Linked DNA regions of Arabidopsis thaliana. The protein of the gene in region 1 interacts with the protein of each later gene in a pairwise test. Each region holds a gene or a part of one and is shown in the gene's direction. Other genes may lie near its edges. The genes, in order: AT3G50650 and AT5G45580.

Region 1 (9,282 bases):
TTTACCTAAAGGTACTTGATTGAACTCAATTATGTTTGGTCTTGCATCATCTAAAAGCCTTTTCGCATCACCATAAGCAATAATAGAGTGTGAACCATGAAAACGAAGAGAATCATAAAATGTGCATGAATAGCACCAAATTGGATAACATCTGGACTCGGGCAATCGTCAATGTCCCATAACAATGTCGTCTTCGCTTCTGCAATATAGAAAACGAGATGGATGAATACTAAGATTTTATAGTAATTAGTGAAACTATAGAGAAATATAAACTCAATATCCTTAATTACCTTGGTCTTTCTTGGAGGGTCGAAACATGGTTTTCAACAAATTTAGAGACAAATAAACTTTCTCATTTGGATTTGTTTGTTTTTGATTGTGCGTGCTAAGAACCTAAGACCACCTCCAATAATATTTCTATAGGAGTCTTTAAGCATAAAATTCTTACGAAAAAGTTAAAAAATAAATCAAAACTGATAATTAATGTAAGGGACGATCCTTAAATTAAAGTTTTTAGAGTTTGTAAGAGACTCATACGTGTCATTGTACTATTGGGTAGAAAATATGAGGGAAAATAATCTTTTTTTCTTTCCGATGATTGTTGAAGGCAAGAATCTTGAAATTTTAACAAACAATTTGGAGAAAAGAAAGATAGACGGGGTGATTGGATTAGACTTTTAAGACTTTAAGAAGTTTTTAGAAGTTTTAAAAGTTTTTTTAACCCAATCAAACATTTTTGGTTTTCATAAATTTTAAAGCCTTTAAAGTCTTTTTTTCTTAAACTCTTTGTTTTCAATATTTTTTGAAAATCACGTATAGGTGACTTTAGAAATAAAGAAATAAAAAGTTTATAGTTTTTTTCTTCTTCTTTCTAATATGTATATAAACTCTCATAACATTTCACAAATAAATTATTTTTTGAAAAAATCTAATTGATTTATAATTGATTTTTTTCTTGTTCTTTTAAAATCTATTTTCCTATATATTTGGTAGTTATTTTAAAATCGTAATTTATACAAAATTTCCTATGGAATTCATTGATAAATGTTTATAATTACTGTTTAATTTATATTCTTTTAAGATCCACTTATGTATATTAAAGAACATCAAATATTACATTTGATGCAAAAGCAAAGAAATATGAATGTATAAAAAATTTACCATAAAGTTTTTTTGTGTGAATGTAGTTGTTATATCACAGTTCGAGTTATATTTGCTATAATTTATATTATTTAAAATTATAAGTTTTACAGTTACAATTTCTACAGTTTTGGTGTTACCTATCAGATTTTAACCGTTAAAGTCTATACTGTTAAAATTTTTAAAGTCAAAATTTTTATAATCAAAGTTTTTACCGTCAAAGTTCCTACAGCGAAAGTCTCTACAACCAAAATTAACAGTCGTTACCAATCGGCCCTAAAGATAGATAATGATATCTTACCGCTGAAATCTTCTCCCTCGTAATACATGGTTTTGACGGATTGATCGAGACAATTAGAGAGTGATAAAAAAAAATCTGTGGTTGAGTTAGGGTTTAAATACGTAATCAGGTGACACGTTAAATTATCTAATTGTACTTTACCAAAAATTATATAATTGTAATTAATTAAAATGCCAAGAAAAAAGAAAAAAAAAAACAGTGCAGATAGACATATGGTTGATTAACACACTGTATTATCCATTTATTTACAGTGAAATAAAATATGATTAAATAAAACAAAAACAGAAGCCTCCAAATATTTGGAGGCTGATTACGCCAACTAGTCCCCGTGTTCCTCGATTAGGTCGGCCCATCATATTGTTGGATAATTACGGCCCATAAAGTTTTTACTTGATCTGAAATCATCCAAATGAGAAGATTTAGATAATTCATAAATTATATTGATGTTCAATTGTTCATCATACTGCTCTTTTGTTAACAACAATATGGCTTTGAATTTGATTGATTGTCTCTAATTTTGCAGATATTGGAAAGACGAAATGGTTCGATATTTTGAAGTATAGGTTTATTCACATGAACACCCTCGGTGATGAAATCGAGACTTACCAACCAAAAGCCCTTGTTTATTGATTTTCGTGGTTTGGCCCGCAAGTATTTTTTTTCTTTTCTGGTTAGCCGAATAATATTCAGAAAACGAGGAAAAGCATTGAGATTTTTTTGTTTTAACTAACTAAAATTTGGATGAGAAAGTGAGTTAGCTGGTCAATAAAAGGTACAAAAGTTTAGTGTTTGGACAGGCCACTTGTCATTTGAAAAGTCTCTTTCTGTTTTGTATGAGATAATCGTCACCAAATATATATTTTTCTTACTGACTTAATAATTTCTGTTTAACTGATTCAAATAGTAAATATATTTTGGTTAATTAAAGGTTCAAACGAAAATAAGTGTAAAAAGCTAAGGAGGAGACAAAAATAGGTAAATTTTAGTTGGTAAGAGTTGAAACTAAAAATTAGTATTTAAAAAAAAAAGCAAAGAATGTGACAAAAATGGTAAATATATAGAGAGACTTTCTTGGGGATGACTCAATGCCACTCTTTGTTCATACATAAGAAACCCCACCGATGACTTGGATAGAAAGAAAAGACAAATCAAACCCTTTCATTCTTACTCATGTCCTTTTCATACACCACTCATTCTCTCTCTCTCTCTATCTATTTTCTCCAAGTCCACTTGCAGATAGGTGCAATGGTTAAACACTAAAGTGGGATTGCCATTTTCAAAGACAAGTCCTTTTCAAAAATATCATCTTCTTCATTCTCCTTGTTGAAATCATTACCAATTTAGAACAGTCCATGGCACTTTGTAGTAAAAAATGTCAAAAGTGAAAATCAAAAGTAGACTTGGGCCAGGGACCATATACCATGTTTAGTAATGTAATTTAGATATTTAAGTTATAAGTAGTGGAGAAGTAGGCCTTTTGACGCGGATACAACGATGAAATGAAAAGAGTGATGTCTCAAAGAGTCAAGTGTCGTTCCCATGTGCTTTTTGTTCGCTATTGCTCTTTTCTATTTCATTCGCTTTAGGTTTTTAGAAATTGCAAAGTCACAAAGAGCTTCCACACTCAAACCTCAAATAAGCAAATTCTCGAACTATGCGTCGTGTATGAATGATAATTCATAAAACTTGGTTTGTTATTGAAAGACTTTTAAATTCTATAATCCTCTTTGGACTCTTTTCTTGTTTCTTCTTTGCTTGTGTTTTTTTTTTGGTATTTTTGTGTAATTTTTAGCTTTTGGCTAATGGCTACTACATTTTCTTCGTCAAAGTTCGTCCACCAACAACAGATACTAGTAGAGCCCGCCACAAATCGCTTTTGCTCCATTGTATATGGGCCTACTTACGGACCCACAAGCCGTCCTCCACAACACTAACGTTGAGATAAAAAAGACATGCGTATACAAATAAAACATGTCTATTGTTTAATTTTTGCTTGCTCAAGTCATATTCAAGATGTTAGCTTAACTTGTCGAAAGGTTTTTTTACAAAAGTAACTGAAACTAAACCAATGAAGTCACTGAAATTTGTTAACCAAAGTCCAATTTAACGACCCTTTTAGTTGATAAGAAACAGCTTTGAAAAACCTTGACCTTTGCGGCTTGAAAGCAGAAGATAATAACCTAATTCTTTTTACTTTTCTTACATCAATCTTTTTACCTTTATAATACTGTTAGTTAAAATGAAAAAAGACAGAAAAGTTGCAGGCGACATGCAGGTGACAAGTAGCAGAAGACAGTTGTCGACGTGTCACATTCACCATTTCAGCCAAAGCCATTGATCTGATTCTAGACGGTGGAGATGAGGTCACACTCTTCGATACGTAACTGCCGATACATGACGTCATCGTGTCTGTGGGTCCCATAAGTGAGATATCGTTTTACTCTCTCTTTTTTTTCATAACGTCAACTCTTTTTTTTACCCATATTAACAGAGTGGTAATAATTATTTAACAAAAAAAAACCTATGTATTTTTTATTTTTTGGTCAAAAGGTTTCTGAATAAATTTGTAAGATTATACGAAACTACAAATTCATGAGATATAGAAATTATTCAATTGATATTTTGATAAATTACATTTCTATTATTAAATTCTTGAAAATAATTAAATACAAAACTGAGTTTTTTAGTAAACTATGTTAGTTAGTTTCTTCATTTTTTGTTGTTGTTGTTGGTTTTATAGTTTCTTCATTTCTTGCAGTTAATAACGTAATTTTGTACTTTTAAACTAAAGTGGTAATTGATTAAAAATACAGTACTCGAAAATGATAAATCGGATGACAAAAAAAAAGAAAATGATAAATCAAAATGAAAATACTCACTTTCTTACTTTTTTCTTCCTACTAAAATCTCTCCGGTTTCATTCATATCCCTCTCTCTCTCTGGGCCTTACTCAATCACCACCAAATAACAGACAAAAAAACGCCTTCATCGCCGGCGAAAGTGAGTCGGAGAATGGCGTATATGTGCACCGACAGCGGAAACTTAATGGCTATAGCACAACAACTCATCAAACAGAAGCAGCAACAACAATCACAACATCAACAACAAGAAGAACAAGAACAAGAACCCAACCCCTGGCCCAATCCATCCTTCGGGTTTACTCTTCCCGGTTCGGGTTTCTCCGACCCGTTTCAAGTAACCAACGACCCAGGTTTTCACTTTCCACACCTGGAGCATCATCAAAACGCAGCCGTCGCTTCCGAGGAGTTTGACTCCGACGAGTGGATGGAGAGTTTGATCAACGGTGGAGATGCGTCACAAACCAATCCAGACTTCCCAATCTACGGCCATGATCCATTCGTCTCATTCCCGAGTCGACTCAGTGCTCCTTCATATCTCAACCGAGTCAACAAAGATGACTCAGCGAGTCAACAACTCCCTCCGCCACCAGCTTCCACCGCTATATGGTCTCCATCTCCGCCATCACCACAACATCCTCCTCCTCCCCCGCCGCAGCCGGATTTTGATCTAAACCAGCCGATTTTTAAAGCTATCCACGATTATGCACGTAAACCGGAAACTAAACCGGACACACTAATTCGGATCAAAGAATCCGTGTCCGAATCAGGCGACCCGATACAACGAGTCGGGTATTACTTCGCAGAAGCTCTGTCTCATAAAGAAACAGAGTCTCCGTCGTCATCGTCGTCGTCATCCCTAGAAGATTTCATTCTCTCATACAAAACCTTAAACGACGCATGTCCATATTCAAAGTTCGCTCATTTAACAGCGAATCAAGCAATTCTCGAAGCTACGAATCAATCAAACAACATTCACATAGTCGATTTCGGGATTTTTCAAGGTATTCAATGGTCTGCTCTGTTACAAGCTTTAGCGACCCGTTCTTCTGGTAAACCCACCCGGATCCGGATTTCGGGTATACCCGCTCCGTCTCTAGGAGACTCACCGGGACCGTCTCTGATCGCTACGGGAAACCGTCTCCGTGATTTCGCGGCGATTTTGGATCTCAATTTCGAGTTTTATCCGGTTCTGACTCCGATTCAATTACTAAACGGGTCAAGTTTTCGGGTTGACCCGGATGAGGTTTTGGTTGTGAATTTTATGCTTGAGCTTTATAAGCTTCTAGATGAAACAGCGACGACTGTTGGTACGGCGCTCCGGTTAGCTAGATCGTTAAACCCGAGGATTGTGACGCTTGGAGAATACGAAGTCAGTTTAAACCGGGTTGAATTTGCTAACCGGGTTAAGAACTCTCTCCGGTTTTATTCCGCGGTTTTTGAATCGCTTGAACCGAATTTGGATCGAGATTCGAAAGAAAGGCTGAGAGTGGAGAGAGTGTTGTTCGGTAGGAGGATTATGGATTTGGTCCGATCAGATGATGATAATAATAAACCGGGAACCCGGTTTGGGTTAATGGAGGAGAAAGAACAATGGAGAGTGTTGATGGAGAAAGCTGGATTTGAGCCGGTTAAACCGAGTAATTACGCGGTTAGCCAAGCGAAGCTGCTACTATGGAACTACAATTATAGTACATTGTATTCACTTGTTGAATCGGAGCCAGGTTTCATCTCCTTGGCTTGGAACAATGTGCCTCTCCTCACCGTTTCCTCTTGGCGTTGACTACTTGGTCCGATAAGTTAATCTAGTATTTTGAGTTAGCTTTTAGAATTGAATTGTTTGGGGTTAGATTTGGATGTTTAATTAGTCTCTAGCCTATTCTCTTACTCTTTTTTATCTAGTGCTTGGAGTGATGATGGTTTGTCGTTTATGTTCATTTGTAATATATATTGTATGTAACATTTGACTAGATTTCTTTGGTATAAACGAAAGAAGCTAAACCAAATTCATGTGAATGAAAAAAACACTAGAATTAACCCCTGAAATTGAGGAAAGGAGGTGATGAAGTTTGATTTTGAAATGAGAGTATTATGGTCCCATAAAAGAGACTGAAATTTGAATTGCACTAAGATCTTTCACTAACACACCATTTCTTCTCCCTTTTCATCATTTTGTCTCCACTTTTTCTTGCCTAATATAGTTTTGTTTACTTCATGAAAATTATATACCAATGTTTTCTGTACCATTCACTGAATAATAAAATAGGAGCATAATTATTTGTCAGTGAAGTAAAAGCCAAAAATACGAAGGCGCACTGACAAGTATTTCAATCTTTCTGTGTCAGTCTTGTTTCTCTTTGTTCGAACTTCAAACGTGCCACTATGACGTCAACTCTCGAATTTCTTCTTCAGTGGTCTTTTGGTCCCCATTTCCTATATCTCTCAGCCACTACTCTGACTCTGTCTGTGAGTCTGATAGTAAATTTTACTTCCCTAACGAAGATAAAAGCCCACTCTGTTTATGCTTGGCCCAAAATAAACAGGCCTAATCTCTGTCCCATTCCTTTATTTATATTAGCCACAAACAAAAACAATACATAGAAGTATTTTGCAAATAACCCAACCAAGTCTTGACTCTTCACAGCTAATTGCTTACAATTTGCCAGCTTGATTTTTCATTTTTTAGAAAATCATGGTTAGGAATCCAACATCTATAAGTGTGATGATACCTGAAATAAAAATTAAAAAAAAAATGATCTAATCCACTCATTTTAAGTGCTTTTGAATTAGAAATCGAAAATGATATAGACTATAAAGTAATATATAGATCAATCCATTTATAACTAATTGATTTTGAGTTAGAAACTTCTAAACTTCACATACATCATAAAATTAAAAGTAAATCGTTTCATTTACAAATAACTAAAGTATTGGTGGAAACTAACACCTTTGGATATCGAGCAGACTATGTATGATATGAAATTCAACTTAGACGATGAAATTGCAAGCCATGAAATAATGTTTACCGGTTTCTCTAAGAAAAAAGGTTCAAGCAATGATGCGTTGATATTTTCCTATAATGAGATGAAACTGTTTTTTTGACCAATCATTCATGAGCGGAGTCGCATCACGACGACGTGTGGGATAAACAATGTTCAATGGAACTTCCAAGCACATGATTGACAACCTTGGTCCTTTGACTGCACGTTACCTCATATGTAAATAGATATTAATACAACATTTTATGCCCATATTTGTCGACATATCACTGAGTTAGTAGTATGTTTGATGGTAAGCAATAGAACAAGAAATAACAGAGGACAAATGGATAGTTTCTCACGTGCCTCCATGTGATCTTTAACTCCTTCAAGATACGAAGATCAACAACATTTTGCCAATGAATGATAATCTACAACATTATTTTTTTTGGTTCTATTATAAAACACTTTTTGCTAGAATCTCTCGGTCAAATATTCGTATATAGAATATAGTCATATAGATCAAGCTTGATGGATCTATGAGTTGGACATTAATAATCTCATTCCAACTTCTTATCCTATATATAACTCAATGGCTTAGATCTCTCATTCTATATGCCATTGAGTAAAAACATAAATGGCACGCTTAGAAATGCACAACTCCATGAATGGTGCTGCTAGAATCTCTTTTTCTAACGAGTTTGTCGAGATCAGATCGGAGAAGAGTAATGCTAAGAGCAACAACATCAACTCGAGAAGCTCTTTCTCCATGCCCTCAGCTGATTTCGCTTTCTCAGTCACCGATTACTCGATGATTCCCGCCGATGAAATCTTCCTCAAAGGAAAGATTTTACCTTTTAAGGAGACCAGTCACGTCCATAGGACCTTAGGAGAAGAGCTTCTTACTGAAGAGGAGGGTTCTATGGTCGATGGTAACACTTTCTCCCTCAGGCCAATATTGTTGTCTTCTTCATCCTTTTCCACAAAGGGCACGTGGAGGGAGCTTTTGGGACTTAAGAGGACCCATGTTAGATCTAAGAAGACTGATAAAGTCAATGAGGAAGTGTTAAGTCAAGATCACAAAATAATCTCAGGTATACAAACAAAAACAATCCTCTGTTTTGAAATTTTTATTCTTCTTTGGATAACCGGAGATTCCCAAACCAATACTAATATGAGCTAGTGAAAATCTTTTGGACTGATCAGGAAATGTTGCAACGAGGGAGTGTCAAGTTGCAGATACAAGATGAAGAAAGTTTAGAGCTCCCACTTTGGTTTCTAGAAATTAATTTAGATTATTTATGATAATCTAGATTGACTGTATCTAAAAGGTCTTTGGACAAAGATGGTTCCAAGTTACAACAACTCTTCTCGCTCACGTGTTTTGTTGTTCTTGTAAGTTTTTGTTTTGTTTGTGGAATCAATCATTTTGTGGAACATCTCTATTTTTTAATGCCAGTGAAGATTTGTGTGTAATACTTTTTCTTTTTATTCACTTTTAGTTATAAGTTGTCTGCATGCACTTGTCTCACGTACCACTTATTATCATATATTCATATCGACCAATTAAACTTCTTTTCCCACTTTAATTTGATGGTTTAGTGTATTTAGCATAATCAAAATAGTATGTGCGTGAGGACTTGTTCTGAAGTATTTATTCCTCTCATTCGTTGAAAATGAAGTTGAAGAACACTTGTTTTTTTTGTTATGAATGTTAATATCATTAAAAATGAAAAGGTTTGGCTTTACAAAGTAGGAGCCCTTAAATTTGTATCCTTGGCAAAAAAGATAAAACAAGGAGACAAAATAATTAGGAAAATGGATGAAAGAGATTCATCGTATCCAAAGTTGCATCAAGTTGCGGAATCGTTTGCGCTTATGTCTTGCAGTGATTATGTTTCTTGTTACTCGATCTATGCCCTTGAAGATGATAACCGGAGGAATAGAAACCTGATTGTGAACACTTGTTTATCAGATGATCAAAGTATATAGAAACATGGTACTT
Region 2 (9,480 bases), on another chromosome or scaffold:
GATTCTTGTTCGGATTGTATCTCATCTTTTTTTGATGAAGACTATCGTGGGATCTCGTATTCACGGCGTATTTGTTTGTAATTTGGTTTAATTTTATAATAATATTTTGAAGGGGACTCGTTGTCCCCTTCGCCTACAAAAAAAAAACAAATTAGTTTGGTATTTTTTTGGCTTTTTTCCCAAAGACATTTTACCATTATCAAAGTAAAAGAGAATGATGACAAGAAAAAAAAAGAGTAAAAAAGAATAGAGTTATCCTAATAACCAAACACTCAAAATCATTTCCCAAAAACCCCAAAGCTTTGTCACACACACTTCTTCTCTTTTATAAAATTCGCATTTCAATCAGAAAATTGTTCTTCCCCTTGGAGACGACAATGCAGAGGTTTTGCACTAAGCTACGTTCCATTTCTCTCCAATCTAATCGGAATCTCTCTTTTTACGGTGCTTCTCCTCACCGTCTCATTCACCATTCTCCTTCTCCGAGTCGTCACTTAACAACAACAACCCTAGGTTTTGCCAATTCCACCAAATGGAGCTTCGTTCCCGCCGCCGGAGTTTTTCCGTCGAATGTTAGCTCCATGGGCACTACCTTTGTTCCTCATCACGTAAGTTTCCAGAATTTAGCTTCAATTGCTTTATATATATCTGCTGATTGAGACAAATCTTAGGAGGACAAGATCTGACGAGTGACGAGCTAGATAGTTTGAATTGGTATATAGTTTTAGCTTCTTCTGAATTTTCTATATGTTCTGTTGAAACAAAATCAACAACATGGATTACTAAATACTAATTCAAAGAATGTTAATAAGCTTACTTGCACTTTGTTTTGAATCCAACTGATACAAGTCAGTGCTTGCATATATCACTACGTTGCAAGTTTTAACCTACTAAATCTCTTTTGTTAAAAAAAAAAAAAGAGCTTACTCAATCTCATAAGATACATACATGTTTTCTTTGGAATCTTAACATTCGGATTTATTGTGTACGGTTCTTGAATTTTGTGCCCCTTGTTTGATCATAGGAAAGAAGAATCGTCATGGCTTTGATTGCGTGTTTTCCGAAAATAGAATTATTTGTTCATAGTAGCTCTTGCATTTTGATATCATGTTCGTTAAGCCAGATGATAAAGGCGGTGTGCTTGAGTATCATCACTACGAAGTACCAACATTGATTTATATCTGATTGCTTATCTTATGTACGTTTGATTCTCTCTGCCTTCAGTTTGTTCAAGTACGAAATATCACTTCTAAGGAAAAAATGGCAAAATGGAAGAAGAAGTGGAGACCTAGGACTCCAATCACATCAAAAGTCAAGAAAGTCAAGATTAAGTTTTATTCGTACGTGCTGAAACTTCTGATTCCCAGATTATCAACAAATCTTGTTAGTAATAGTTTGGGCGTCTCTCTCAACAATTTTTTTTTGTGTTGAATCTATATCTCAGGTCATTCAAAGACAGGTTTAAACCACTAAATGATGGTACCATCCGTCGCTGGAAAGAAGGCAAGCGCCACAACGCACATTTGAAGGTAACAACACCTTATTCCTCATATCGATGATAGAAAATTTTATTCATTCTTTGGCCTACGCCTCTAGAGGAACAGTATGATAATACCTAGGGATAGAACTGATCGAAAATTGCCCAACAGCTGATTCTGGTGATAGTGAACTTAAATTTGGATAGAACTAGTTTTGAACTTCGAGTCTTTAGGTGTTTCCTTGTTTAGCTAAATGGACAAATGGTAGGCAAAGTTGTATTTTACAATACCATCTCTGTTGTTGGACCTCTTCGGGGTTTCATCATTGTGTAAGATTTCTGAGTCAGGTTGAGAAATGTTGAGTGTAAAGAATTTGTTTTGTTAATTGATGCAGTCAAAGAAATCGAAGCGTAGATTGAGACAACCTGGACTAGTACCACCAGCATATGCGAAAGTCATGAAGAAACTCAATTTCTGCAATTGAGAGATAGAGCATGAAACAGTATGATTACGATGAAAGCCAGTCTCTTCCAGTTTTTACCAGATAATTTTGCTCACTGGTACTCAAAAAATCTTTATGTTTCAGTTTAACTTCATTGGAATAAATTGAGTTTTCGAAATATGGTGAAATTGGCGTTAAGACTGATCGGTTTTGAAAAGAGAAACAAGTTAGGCTTATGATTTTTTCTCAAGTACATTTTCCAGCTAAACCAGAAGAAACTTTGTTTCCCGAGTCGGTCCGGTTATATGATATTTCGGTTTAGTCAGATTGTACCGGTGTAAACCGAGCTTTGGATTGAAAAATACACCCATTCTCATGTTTGGTTAGGACAAAACGATTGCGGTCGAACGAAGCGGCCTTGGTTCCACGTGTGTATTTCTTGTGGGTCTCAATTTCAACAAACGTAAAAGACAAAAGAGTAACAAAGCCGTCCACGTGTCCTATGTTGAAATACCATTAAACCCCCACCGTCGAACATGTGAGTTTCAGATTATTGTATTTTCCTTGTCCGACGGCGAATATTCCACGCTGGCAGTCTACGTGACATGCTCGCCCCATGCACTTTGTTTTCGTCATATAAATTCCTTTTTAAAACCATTGAATTATTATTGTTATTGTTTTTAAAAAAATACAAAAAAAGGTTTTATGTCGCTCTTGTCGGAATTTGACACCGCTCATCACTCATCATGTATTGATCGTCGCCGAATACAACGATTTGTTTTTTTTTTAAAACAATTTTTAAAAGGTCACAATACAACAATGAATTTCATCAAATCTTTTATCAAAAAAAAAATGAATTTCATTTTATTTGATTATTCGGAATTGATTTATGTGTAATGTGGAATGTGTAATAACAAATTACTAATTTAGTAATTTGGTCGAAACATTTTCTATGTTTATTTTCTTCTTCTATCTCAAATTGAGACTATCCGACAACATATGAATGATAAATTTATATGATACCTAAATAAAGGAACAACATGGAGAGAGATTTTGATTCATGGATTGTATGAGAATGAGACAAAACCTTTAGTCATAAGTTATCTGATTTAAAAACACATAAATCTAACATATAAATTATTCAAATGATAAAAATGATAATTCCTAGAAACTATATATTCTTTGGACATTAATAATCTAGGTATAGTAAACAAATATCCATGATGCGGGCCATGTTCCTCTCTCCCATGTTACGATTCTGAATATACAAATACCTCTTGATTGATTACAAAAAGAAAAAAAAAAGTACGCAATCATGTATATATTTTATTCTACAACATGACATATACACGGTCTAGCATCTCATAGACACAATTAAAAACGCAAGTAATATGCGGTTGGTAATTGCGTTTGTATGCAATAAATCACTAATCAGTCATAATACAATAAAATTTTGCTATGTTTTGCTTTCATACTATTCACAAAATCGATATAAAAAACGTTAATAATTACTATTTTCTTTTTTATTATCATAATATTTCGATATGGATACAATTTGTTTTTGTATATAAACAAACTTTTAGTGTTGGATCCATAATTTGTATTATACATATATTATAATAATACTATATTAACCGAAGGTTGACGTTAAGTCACGAATAATGTCACCACTTCTCCTCCTCCATCATCATCATCACCGCGACGACTTTTTTAAGTTCCCTTTCTCTCTCTCTGAGATTTTCCTCAAAAAGTTTTCTGATCTCTTTTTCTCCATCAATCATCACACTTCTTTCTATTTATCTCGTCCTCTCGTCGCCGATTATCTCTTTACCCTAATCACTCGCATTCCCATCTTTAACAAAATTTCTTCCACTTTCTTTCCGACCAATATTTCGTAGTTCGATTGCCATTTTTCCTTTTTTTGAGTTTACGCTTCCTCTTTCCGATCACATCCTTGAGAAGAGGAAAATTTCGAAGTTATTTGATTCATTCTTCCGACTGAGTTTCCCGCCATTATTTTGTTTGATCGGAAAATTAAATGGAAAGAGTGAATCTCGGAGGTTTAGGTTACGATAATGGCGGAGTTATGATGACTAGAGATCCCAAACCTAGGCTCAGATGGACAGCCGATCTTCATGATCGCTTCGTCGACGCCGTCGCTAAGCTCGGTGGCGCTGACAGTAAGCTCCTCTTTCCTCCTCTTCTTCAATTGTGATAACCGGTTTCACTTTATAATTCCGGTTCAGTCCGGTTAAATCTACAGTTGATGTATCTGTGTAACAACATTATAGCTCTTTTACTCTTTCTTATTCTTCAATTGAGATAACCGGTTTCACATTATGATTCCGGTTCACTTCGGTTTGGTTGGTTAAGTTAATGCCAGTGATTCAATTGATTCTTCTCTATGTAGCTTGATAACTTCAAATTTAATAGGTTACAAATGTAATTATATCTGTTTGCTTAGTGACATTTGTTATTGGTTTGGTTTTGTAGAAGCAACTCCTAAATCGGTTCTGAAGCTGATGGGATTAAAAGGTTTAACACTGTACCATCTCAAGAGCCATTTACAGGTCCAAATTTATACAAATTTGAGTATATAATAATGTATAATGTCTACAAATTGTTGGTTTATATTCTCTCTTATGATGTGTTTCTATATGCAGAAGTATAGACTTGGTCAACAACAAGGCAAAAAACAAAATAGAACAGAACAAAACAAAGAAAATGCTGGTATGTATGATTATTATCAAGAATTCAAGATTTATATATAATTCAGCTTATAGTAGAGTATAATATATATATACATATGATGTATTTAAGGAATATTAATGTAGATAACATTTGAGAAACCAAAGATTGATTGATTTTTGTATTCACAGGAAGTTCATATGTGCATTTCGACAATTGTTCTCAAGGAGGAATCTCCAATGATTCAAGATTTGATAACCATCAAAGGTATATTATATATGAATTTGCCTTCTCTCGACATAATGGATTTGTAAAGCTTGAGTTTGACATAATGTTAATGAACACACGTAGACAAAGCGGGAATGTACCTTTTGCTGAGGCAATGAGACATCAGGTCGATGCGCAACAACGGTTTCAAGAACAACTCGAGGTAACAAATCTCTTCTTTCTTCTCTCACAACAATGAATAAAAGTTTTAAACCGAAGTTTTTGCGGTGTTATAGGTGCAGAAAAAACTGCAGATGAGAATGGAGGCACAAGGAAAATATTTGTTGACATTACTAGAGAAAGCACAGAAGAGCTTACCTTGTGGTAATGCAGGGGAAACAGACAAGGGTCAATTCTCGGATTTCAATCTCGCACTTTCGGGACTTGTAGGAAGTGATCGTAAGAACGAGAAGGCGGGTTTGGTTACTGATATCTCACACCTTAATGGTGGTGATTCCTCTCAAGAGTTTCGGTTATGTGGAGAACAAGAGAAAATAGAAACCGGAGATGCATGTGTTAAACCAGAATCCGGGTTTGTGCATTTTGATTTGAACTCCAAAAGTGGGTATGATCTCTTGAATTGTGGGAAATATGGGATTGAAGTGAAGCCAAATGTGATTGGAGATAGACTTCAATAGGTTAAAGAGACACTTTCTTTAATTTTTTATTTTATTTTATTATTTCTTTACATTTCTTATAGAATGTTACAAATTTGGCTTCATGGTTTCTCAGTCAAATATCAAGAACATATTTGAAGTCCAAAGTAGTTGATATCAGCTAAATACGGAATAATTGGGTTTAACTAAATAAGTTATTTTTGTGAATAATAAAGTGTAGCATCTTCTCTCGCTTGTTCTGCAAAATTCAAAACCTATTTGCTTGTTTCTTAATTCTTTTCAAAAATATGTCTATGCATCTAATTGTCTCTTTCTAAAAAATGAGGATCAAACAAAGATGAGATTTGATTCTCATGATTGATTTTCTCAGTTAAAAATAAGGGAAATTTAATAGAGTAACCCATATTTTATACATAAAGACCCAAAAGGAATGCTAAAAATATGAGTTATTTGAGTAATAATTATACCTAAATTATCCTTGTTTTCCTTTGCAGAGAAAAACAATATTACAGAAATGCCATTACTATTTAATTCCAGCAAGGCAATAAAACCACATTTATTTACGAAAATGCCATCGTCGTTTTTGATAAATCTGTGGCTCTTGTTGCGACGGATTTGTTATCGATCACAGATTTGTTGGTCAACCACAGATTTTTTACAACAGACTTGTTTTGTACCCCAGACTTTCCTGTGTTATGTTACGCCAGATTTTTTTTTTTTCGCAGATTTTTTAACCGTGACTAATTTGTTTCATATAGTCTCCACAGATTTTATTTAAATTTCAAAAGTAAGAATGTTGAAACCAAATCTGTCACTGATTTGTTTTTCGGACCACAGATTTTTCTTTATGGCGGCAACAGATTTTCTATTTGCACCCAAAAATCTGTTGTGTTATAACAGATTTGTTAACCTCGAAAAATGTTATATAGGCATGACAGAGTTGTTTTGTGTAATCACAGATTTAATTAACTTGTTAACAAATCTGGTGTTTTACAACAGATTTTTGTTAAAAAATAAAATTACTACACAGTCACATAGTGATAACAGATTTGTTTTTAGTGATGACAGTTTTTTTTTTCAGTGTCAAAACATAACAGATTTACTCATGTCAATGTTATGGCCGATTTGTTTATGACTAGAATAACCTTTTTAGTAATAACAGACTTTTTTTGGCAGATTTATTTTTAAAATTTCGAAATTTTTTGTTATATGAGATTTATTAGCTAGCCCTCAATTAAATTATTTCCGGTTTGATTGTATGTTAAATCCGGTTTGACTTGATTTTTTTTTTTTTTTTTTGAAAACGTTATGACAGACTTTTATTAGGCGACAGATTTTTCCGAAATATTACCATATTTGAGTCAAGGAATATTCTCGTAACGCCTAGGGTTTCCAATGAAAAAAACTGCCATTGTCGTTTTCTTTTTTCTTCTGTAACGCCTACCAAATCTAATTTCAATACAATCCATTATTCTTCTACCTATTCGAGATCTTAGTTGCTTCATCTTTGACACAAATTCGATTCCCTTGTTTATCGATTCTCTCTTTGGTATGGATCAAGTAATTCTCGTGTGTGGTAAATGGGTATATGAGAAAACGAGATGGATTTTTGTGGTTGATAGTACAAAAGGTTGTCGTGTACTTGAAGGTAATAGTCAAACCAGTTATGATGATTTCATCCAAATGGTGTATGAGGATTACAATATCGAGAAGAGTGTATTTGAAGTTATTTTGAGTTACAAGATCCCGAAATCAAAGCAATTACCAGCAGATACTCCACCTGTACTCATTGGTAATAATAGACAGTTTCAGTCTTATTTGGGGCAAACGAAGAATGATACTGTTCGACTTTGTGTTGAATTAAAAGAGAAAGTTCTAGATGAATATGAAGAGGAAATCATTGATGATTTAGGTAGCAGCGACTTGCCGAAGACAAAAGCAGTTGATGTATACGGTATTGTCGAAGAAAACGTTGAAAACGTTGACGTATTCACTCATACTGATAGCGTTGTTGAAAGAAAAAAATCTGAAGCAGTTGAAGATGGTGAAGATGACGGGAGTAGATTTGATTACTGTGATGATTCCGACGGAACAGATTCTGATGATGAGAACTTTAGCCTCTATGGGATTCCACCAGAAGAAGAAGATAAAACGAACGTATCAAGCAAGAAGATGAGTTTAAGTGTATACGTAGAAGAAGATAAAGGAGATGCTACATACGAGACCTTAGAACTATCGTCATTGGGATTGGCCGTTGGTCAATGTTTTGAAACGAAAGATCACTTGGAGACACGTTTGAAGATACTTACTGTGTTAGAGAAATTTGATTTTGATGTTTCGAAATCGACTCCTACATTATATTTTGTAAAGTGTTGGATTAAGGGATGTCGATGGAGAGTGCGAGCAACACCAGTTGACGAGTATCCAAAGTTTCAGGTGAGAGTGTATGTTTCGGAACATACATGTTCTGTTACTAAACGCTCATCACGTTCTCGACAAGCTACTCACGAAATACTTGGATTGCTCTATAAGAATTACGTTGGTGGAATTGGACCTAAGGTTCTCCCAATGCACGTTGCCGAAGCATTGACTAAACGATTTCAAATCAAGGTACGATTTCCAATTTCTTGGCTTTCTTTGTTTATTAATTACACCTTGTTTTCAACCAACTAATCACTAAAGTCAATACATTTTATTAGATGGATTACTGGAAGGCTTATCGGACACTAAGATCTGCCCGAGAGATGGTTAGGTATACACCAGAAAGTGGTTACGAGCAACTTCCGGTATACTTGTACATGCTAGGGAGGGAAAATCCTGGAACCTTCACGCGACTTGAAGTGGATGAAACACAGCGATTTAAGTACTTGTTTCTTGCGTTTGGTGCAAGTATTTTAGGATTCCCTTTCATGAGGAAAGTGGTGGTTGTTGACGGTACTTTTTTACAGGGAAAATACTTAGGGACACTTCTTACAGCAACAACTCAAGATGGTAACTTTCAGATATACCCGATTGCTTTTGCCGTTGTTGATACTGAAAATGATGCCTCATGGGAATGGTTTTTTAGACAACTCAGCAGTGTGATTCCAGATGATGAAAGTCTCGCCATTATTTCAGACAGGCACCAATCCATTAAAAGAGCAATAATGACAGTTTATCCTAAGTCTAGCCGGGGAATCTGTACATACCACTTGTACAAGAATATATTAGTTCGCTTTAAAGGTCGGGATGCATTTGGTTTGGTAAAGAAGGCAGCAAACGCTTTCAGATTAGTCGATTTTGAAAGGATATTTGATCAGATTTTAGCTTTGAATCCTGCTCTTCATGCTTACCTTCAAAGAGCTGATGTACGTTTGTGGACTCGTGTGCATTTTCCTGGTGATAGGTACAACTTGCTTACAAGTAACATTGCGGAGTCAATGAATAAGGTCATGTCACCCGCAAGAAGCCTTCCTATTGTACAACTGTTAGAAGAAATTAGATCCATGATGACGAGATGGTTTTCAGACAGAAGGAATGATGCATTGAATTTGTCTACATATCTTACTCGTGGAGTAGAGAAGATATTGCAGGTTTCATTTCTAATACAAACACAATTTATACACGTCCGTATATTGGTGATTATAGCTAACTAATGACATTGTCTTCTTTGTAGAGTCGTGTAGAGCACGCTAAATTGCTAAGTGTGCAAGACATAGATGCAAATCAAGTACAAGTTACGTTTGGAGCATCTCTGCATGTTGTTAATTTGAAGGACAAGAAATGTTCTTGTCGCAGGTTTGACCTAGAAAAGATCCCATGTGCCCACGCGCTTGCAGCTGCTGAAAAACGAAAACTTTCTCGGATATCATTGTGTCATCCTTACTTTCAGAAGAATTATTTATGCAAGTCCTATGCTAATGCCATCATGCCCAGGAACTTTGATATACCTGTTCCCGAGAATGTCGTGTCGAAGATATGTTTACCACCGGAAGCTCGTCAACAACCA

The links.
Region 2: the proteins of AT3G50650 (region 1) and AT5G45580 interact in binary tests that used the Arabidopsis thaliana proteins (3 or more experiments, as listed by UniProt).

The regions. Positions count from the first base shown.
Region 1 is NC_003074.8:18,803,272-18,812,553, reverse strand, and holds AT3G50650 (GRAS family transcription factor), read left to right. Parts: upstream 1-4,310; 5' UTR 4,311-4,453; coding exon 4,454-6,082; 3' UTR 6,083-6,415; downstream 6,416-9,282. Other genes in the region: AT3G50640 (uncharacterized protein), read left to right, coding at 7,915-8,371, 8,484-8,527. UniProt on the Arabidopsis thaliana protein: Probable transcription factor involved in plant development. Involved in environmental abiotic stress resistance. May increase the expression of stress-responsive genes. Binds DNA in vitro.
Region 2 is NC_003076.8:18,477,125-18,486,604, reverse strand, and holds AT5G45580 (Homeodomain-like superfamily protein), read left to right. Parts: upstream 1-3,596; 5' UTR 3,597-3,958; coding exon 3,959-4,100; intron 4,101-4,413; coding exon 4,414-4,490; exon of another isoform or gene 4,491-4,529; coding exon of another isoform or gene 4,530-4,583; coding exon 4,584-4,650; intron 4,651-4,799; coding exon 4,800-4,875; intron 4,876-4,959; coding exon 4,960-5,038; intron 5,039-5,111; coding exon 5,112-5,513; 3' UTR 5,514-5,796; downstream 5,797-9,480. Other genes in the region: AT5G45590 (Ribosomal protein L35), read left to right, coding at 378-608, 1,225-1,340, 1,445-1,529, 1,873-1,962.